2 linked regions of the Cricetulus griseus genome follow. The protein of the gene in region 2 purifies or fractionates together with the protein of the main gene of each other region. This does not show direct contact. Links are inferred from orthologs where the notes say so. Each region holds a gene or a part of one and is shown on either strand. Other genes may lie near its edges. The genes, in order: Sh2d1a and Slamf6.

The links.
Region 1: the proteins of Slamf6 (region 2) and Sh2d1a purify together in Homo sapiens (co-immunoprecipitation; 5 studies listed by BioGRID and IntAct, with this or other methods). This does not show direct contact. The link is inferred for Cricetulus griseus from reciprocal best matches to the Homo sapiens genes SLAMF6 and SH2D1A.

The regions. Positions count from the first base shown.
Region 1 is NC_048604.1:25,494,221-25,498,046, forward strand, and holds part of Sh2d1a (SH2 domain-containing protein 1A), read right to left. Parts: intron 376-3,826; coding exon 234-375; intron 1-233.
Region 2 is NC_048598.1:20,904,952-20,908,301, forward strand, and holds part of Slamf6 (SLAM family member 6), read right to left. Parts: intron 3,066-3,350; coding exon 2,955-3,065; intron 2,622-2,954; coding exon 2,592-2,621; intron 1,710-2,591; coding exon 1,633-1,709; intron 275-1,632; coding exon 203-274; intron 1-202. UniProt on the Homo sapiens protein: Self-ligand receptor of the signaling lymphocytic activation molecule (SLAM) family.

The sequences.
Region 1 (3,826 bases), on a different chromosome or scaffold from region 2:
TAAAGAGATGAAAATATCCTGGCCTCATAGACTTTTCTACAGTTTTATTAAAAGTGTATATTACAGCATAGTAGAGCCTTTTTGCATAGTTACCTCTCATCTGATTTTCTGGCTGCAGCTACCTCCTTGTTGAAATTTTCTTATGATCTTCCTGCTGCTTATGTGGTCATGAATAGGTTGACCCCCTAAATCTAAGCTTCCCAAGTGTTTGAAAACTAAGCAGGTGTCCACACCTGTGGTACCTTGCGTACTCCTAGCTGAGGACTTCTCCACTGGATACTGCAGAGGTATTACAATGCCTTGATCTGGCTTCTGAAATGCTGAAATCAGATTCTTTATTTTCCGGAAAAATCTTTTGTGTACCCCAGGTGCTGTCTGGAAAATAAAAGATGAAAAAAGTATTCATTTGCCTCATGATGCTAAAAAAAAAAAGAAAGAAAAAGACCTATAACATGTGAGAGGGATGCTCAGAGAGGTAACATTTGTGTAACTTGCTCAAATATTTGAAAACATAAGGAAGAAATGAAAACAACATCCAGAAGAGCTTACTTTGCTTGGCTGAATTTCCTTGCAAGAGGAGCTAATGAGCTGTCATTGCAGTTCTCCCAAGGGTAGTACTAGTTTGTACAAGCTCTTTCTCACAGCCCTGCCCTTCCTGACTGCTACCCGTCATACATCCTGAACCTCTAAGGATGTACAGGCCATTACCCACAATGAATTCAGCAACAGAGGGGATGAAGTTAAACATAAAAAAAATGTATAGATCCTACAGGTCATTAACAAAAAAGCCTGAGAAATCAAAACAACAACCAACAACATGTCCCCCATCCTCATTTTATAATATCAAATATTACACAGGAAATTTAAAAAGTGACTGTTACGATACACACAACTGCATGGCTGGCCGATGCATATACTATTTTACGTCATAATACATACTGAATCATCCTTCATGTTAATTTTGTGTTCTTTGCCCAAATTGTTTGCATAGTCAGCCCTGCACCATGACAAGGTTTCCTCTATGACATGTAAATGAAAGACTATACAAGTTTATCTTTATTTATGTATTTGTTCATTTTTAAAGAGATCAAATTTGCAGGTGGCTGTTAAGAATGTATTCTTTCCTTGACATCTGTGCTCTCACAAGGACACTGCCTGAAATCAACATTCCCCACAAAGCTTATGAGCTGTGCTTTAGGCACCCGCTCAAAACTGTCATTTTACAGAAAATAAAATAGTATTGCTACGAGCAATTGAACAATGACTAGTTTTGCTTCTTTCTAGTTTTTTTTTTTTTAGAAAGTTGTTTTTCAGCTATTCCATCTGGAAGATTTTTGAGATGGGAACTGCTTGGTTTTTAGCATTTAAGGAGAAAATATGAGGCTGGCACACAGACTTCTGTCAACTGGACTTTAAACTCGAGATAACTGACTATCCAAAGTTACTCTTGGTCATTGCCTACTTTGGAGTGAGTAGGGAGTTTTCCAATATAAACACATGGTAGATGTTCTCTTTAGCTGTAATTTAGTGTTCATCTATCCAGTGTCAACGGACAGAAAATGGTCTCCTACCCATCCCTATTCTTATGATCAGAAGACCTAATTTTCTGCTGAGGCTTCATCTAAAAATAACATGGCCATTCTCGCAGAGACCCAAATAACTCTTTGGCTTCAAGACAGAGGCTGCAAATTACAAAGGCGTGCAAATGGCTACAAAATACCTCCTTACTTCTTCCTTAGGGCATTTTTTGATTTTTCAAAACACTTTCCCATCTCTTGCGTTCACTATTTCCTCGTGAATTGGAAGATATTGATTCTTCCAATTATTCTCATTTCACAGATATAAACATGTAACCTAATCATCTTGCATTGAAGTAAATTAATAAGCAGGTTGAGGTCACACATAAATCAGAAGCAGCAGAATTGTCTCTGCATTCCTTTCAGATTAAGACTAGACCAAGTAGTTTCGAGTGAAGCTGAGGTCACCTGCCAGAAGAGAGACTGCATATTTCCCCAGAGGGGAATCATTTGAAACCACACTTCATTTAGGCTGTTTCTTGTGGCTTATACATGTATTTTCAACAAAGGCATCATTTCTATGGAGACTGATAGTTAACACTTGATTATCAATGCTGACAGAGAAGACAATTACCACTGGACATAGAGAAGTAATTTGAACTTGAGATGCAGCATTTCTTTAGCAAATGACTGACCTAATTTATGATGCTTTGCTTAGGCTAATAAGTAATTCACTTACTAGCTAAGAATCTCCTGGTGACCAACTACCCAGAAAAGCCCAAAAGCACAGAAATTGGCAGAGAGGGAGAGAACAGTACACTTTTGACAATGAATTGCTGACAATCTATACTTAATAAATGATAATCAACAATTCATCATAACTTTAGCCTCCAGGAACTAAGTTAATGTCCTCAGTAATGTTCTACTTAAAATGAAATTTTCTGAATATTTTCTTTCATAATCCAATAGATTCAAAGTTCAATTTAATATCACATCTCTAAAACATGTCTTAAACTTACCTAAGGACAGAGGCTAGAATGTTCCTGACATGACCTTTTCTTATGGTATGTCAAACTAAAATGCTTTTCCTGAAAGTAGTACATAAGCCACTTACCACATTTTGGAAAGACATTTATCACACACACAAAAAAGCATCATGGCTACTATCCTGTCAGTGAATTCAGTTCTTGTTCAAATTTGAGCATTTCCCATACTGCCATCACTTAATTATCCATGGAAACACGTTTTGAATCACAGCTGATCTTCAGTACACTCTGGAGAACTTTCTTCCAGCCAGGTGATTTGAGCTCTGAGAATTGTGCACTACTTTAATATTCACCTTAACAAGAAGGCAAATTTTGTAGACAGAAAAAATGCAATATGCATTTCATGAAACAAAGATGTTTTTACCTATTTCCCATTTGGGGATAACCCAAGACAATCTTCTGCTCTCATGGTGCAAATAATTACAATATTATTATATAAGGAGGGTCAAATCAGATAATAGGATAAGGAATATTTATGCTCAATAGACCCTCCTCTGAAAATGTTTACAAATATGTAATGATGTGCTATGATGTTACATGCGAAATGGAAGAAAATGAATTATAAAATGTGTCTAAGAATCCATATCACATCCCTTCCTCCCAAGGCTCAAGGATCATTGAGGAAGAGAAGTGAAAAGAGTATAAAGCAGTGGAAAATTACAAGGAAACAATGTATTCCAGACACAGCAGGACAGCTTCACATATGAACTCACAGTGGTTATGTCAACACGCACAAGACCTGTGCAACCTAAGCCAGATCAAATCCAAGCATGAAGAGAGGAGGTGTGTACAAATTCCCACTTCTGGCAAGGAGCTGCTGGCAATTGATAGCTACCAGGAGAAGAAAAGCCAACTTTCTTTAAAAGAATAGCCCCTGGTAAATCAATCATGCTTCTGAGGAAGGCCACACATCCAAGAATATTTGGACAGCACAAATTGAGAAGACAGATTTATCAAAACAAAGAGTACACAAAATTTCCTGGATTGGGAGAGAGGAACAGATCTTGGAGGACAAGGGTAAATAAGATCAAAACATATTATACAAAATTCTCAAAGAACTAATTTTTTAAATCGCAAAAATATCAAAGATTTTTTCCATAAAAATATTTGTATTGCTCAGCTGAAGGGTATTGTTTGAGGGAAGAGGATTATTTGTGACCAACCCATACATAAATTTACATATATCAGGTACATACAACTCTTCTTCACAATAAATCAAATTGCTTATTTATTTGCAGTGACAGATTTTTTAAGAAACACAGT
Region 2 (3,350 bases):
TGTTTGGGCTTTCTGGCCACAGGTTTAGCTTTGGGTTCAGTGAGAGGCACCGTTTAATGGAGTAAGATAGAGAATGGTAGGGGAGGGGACTGATGGGGCGGTTCCCATCTTCACACACATAAGCACAAACCACAGGCATACATTAGACACATATTCATTCACTCATACAAAATAAAAGAAGATAGAACAGTCATGCATTTACCTCTCTGGAATGATTAACTATGGAGTAAATTGTCATAGAATCATTTTTTATAGATTTTGGGATTTCCATTTCCTGTAAAGAACAACAAAAAAAGAATTTTATGCATTTGGCTCTCACAGAGACAAAAGAGGTACGTGCATGCATATATTTTTGTGGGGGAGACAGTGTGATGAGAAAGAAGTGGCATGCCAAGAGTAGGTGGGGACTTAGTTCTACCAGTTTAAATCTGTGAGGTTCTAGCAACATTTCTTGAGAAGTAGAAAGGCAGCCTAAATAGAAGAGCAACATCCCGTCAATCCCAAGGTCCCAACTAGAGAGCAACAGAAAGGTGGCCATGTGTGAGGGGCTGAAAACATCCTTGTCTTGCATCTGATTCTATGCTTGCTTCTCCTCTGTCTGTGAGAATTACATGCCAGATAGTTATTGCATCGTATCTTTTCTCCCAGTCTTTGTTAGCTATAACTGGAGCCATCTTCATTGCCTGCTCCATTTATCCCTGTTATTCTAATGGCCCAGTCACTGCTTTGTGGTCATGGTTGGGAACTAGAAGTATAGAAACTCCTGGTTTTAATATTTAGAGAATAATTAAGGCCCTAGAAACTCTCCAAGGTATAATGCTTTTTTTTTTTTTTTTTTTTTAAAGAAGCTGACAAATGGGCTAGCCATTAGTGTTTTGGGTTTGTTGGAGAGCTTGCTCCCAGCGGGAGTTGGGAATGGCAATTGAGTAAGTGGTGTGAATACCCTTTATTGTCTTCTCTTTTAGGAACTTCACAAAGTCTGTGATGAGCTTGGCCAGGAGTGTTTGCTTGGGGAATCCAAGACTTTTAGCTGGGCCATTTGAAGAATGCCATGTTCTTTTGGCTGATTTTTCAGAAAACACGAGAACCAGCTCTCCAGTCTGTTTAGTTATTCAGAAAAGTGTCCCCAGTATTGTCTCAATCATAGGTGGTGGGAAAGAGGATTGCCTGGAGCTTGACCAAGGCCATCGTATTATGTGGGAGCCCCTTGCTTTAGTTTCCTTCATTGTGGAGGGGTTATGATACTTGCCCCCCTTGTCTTTTGAGAGACCACTTTAGGGTCTCCTAGCACCCCTCTACCTGGATGACAGCTCCTCCTAGGTATAATCTCCTCTGATCTATTCCTGTGTTCATTGAGTGTCATGCTACATGAAGTAAGGGAAAGGGAGGATATCTAATTTGTACTTTCAAGCAGGTTGTCCCTACCCAGAAAGGATAAGATCTACTGGAACATTAAACAGTTAAAGAACACTAGGAATCAAGTAAGAGTGAACATTCCCTTAGGGGTGATCATAGCCGACACTGGGATGCTCAGCTCTATGGCTGCCTTCTCCAATAATGGATGATTATGGTGACAAGTTTGTGAGTAATCGTAAAATAACAGTGGTGGGGGACAGAGTGGAAAGGACTTACCTGCACTGGATGAGTGACCTGTGCATACACAGTGTTGCTCCCTGGAGAGCCTGGAGTATCTGTGTTCTGGGAGGAATCTATGGTTAACACAAAAAAGGTATGGCTATCAGTGGTGGGACTACAGGGCTGCTTCCCTCTTGCGTCTTGCTGATCTCTAGAGTTTTGTTTTGTTTTGTTTTTATCTCCAAAGCAGTTGTTTCAAGCTTGTTCATAAGAACGGTGTTCTTATGACTTACAGTCTCAGTGACTCCCTCATGCTCAACACATGATGGACTAAAGATCACCACCACCCAAGGGATCTCTGGAGACACCGTTTTCACAGGCAGTGTGACAGATTTGACTGTTTTAGAGATGAAGAATTACAGGTTCAAGAGAGCTCAGTAGACCTATACAAAGCCACTCAGGAAGCAGTGGGACAGGAATTGGAAAGCAAGTGTTCTGACCCCTGACTTTGTGCCCTCTCTTCAACAATGGTATCTTGAAACTATCACCCACCGGGTGAGACTTAGAAAATGAGTGTGCATTAGCCTCTCTTTATCACACCTTCTTTTTCAATGGTGTCTATCTATTGGGGTTTAAACCTTGGCTGAACATCCATGGTACAGTCACGGAGCCTGGTTTTGAGTGCTTCATGCTCAAGTCCTATCTCTGTTCGAAACCAGCTGGGTGACAGTGGATGGTTCATGGATCCTTTCACTGGGACTTATTTTCTCCCTCAGAAAGGAAGTAAGTGATCTTGACCTTGCTATAGAAAACCGTGGTGCCCCTTACATGCTTGGGAGGAACTCTACAGGTCTCATGGTGACAAACCAGGCTCTCTGACACCATAGGGTCCAGCTGAACAGCCATGTTCTGCTTTCTCTCCTTCTCACTGTTCAGCCCTCTGGCCAGCCCCCCTCTCTCTCTCCTCTTTGGTTTATCCCTTCCTGTCTGCTGTAATCAAGAGCATGGATGCTCACCTGGATGTTGGCTAGCCAAAAAAAGAGAACCTGAAAGAGAAAAGCAAGAAGCTGAAATGCATGACTTCAGTGAGGGAAGTCTTTCTCCCTCCTCCCCCAACAGGTGGCTTTCCAGAGGATACAGGTAACAGGTCCCAAATGAAGGGCAGCTGAGCAAGTGTACCCTGAAGCTGTGTCCTGCTTTTCTCAATAGACACCACTCTTGAAATATTAACAGAAGCCTGCCCCACCCCAGGGGGTCATCCCAATGCATTCATTTAGCCAGAGATTGTGTCCACCCTCCCTTGGCCCTTGGCAGCCAGAGGCCCCAGACCCTAAACACTTGCGGTTCTAGAGATAGAAGAAGGCAGAAGGAAAATTTACCTGTTCTTTTCTTCCAAAGACATATGACTAGGCACACAACGACTATAGCCAGCAAGGTACCAATAATTATAAATGTTTGATGCCACTGTAGATTTTTCTCAGGTAAAACACCTGAAAAGAAGAAGGAAAAAAAGAGAAGAGGAACTTCTCAGGATACATAAATTGAGGGTTCCTGGGCTGGAGAGGTGGCTCAGAGGTTAAGAGCACTGCCCTTTCTTCCAGAGGTCCTGAGTTCAATTCCCAGCAACCACATCGGTTATGAGATCTGGTGCCCTCTTCTGGTGTGCAGATATACATGGAAACAGAATGTTGTATACATAATAAATAAAATCTTTAAAAACATTGAGGGCTCCTTTGAACTTGTTTTAGGCCTCTCTTGAGTCTCTTCTGGGCTGC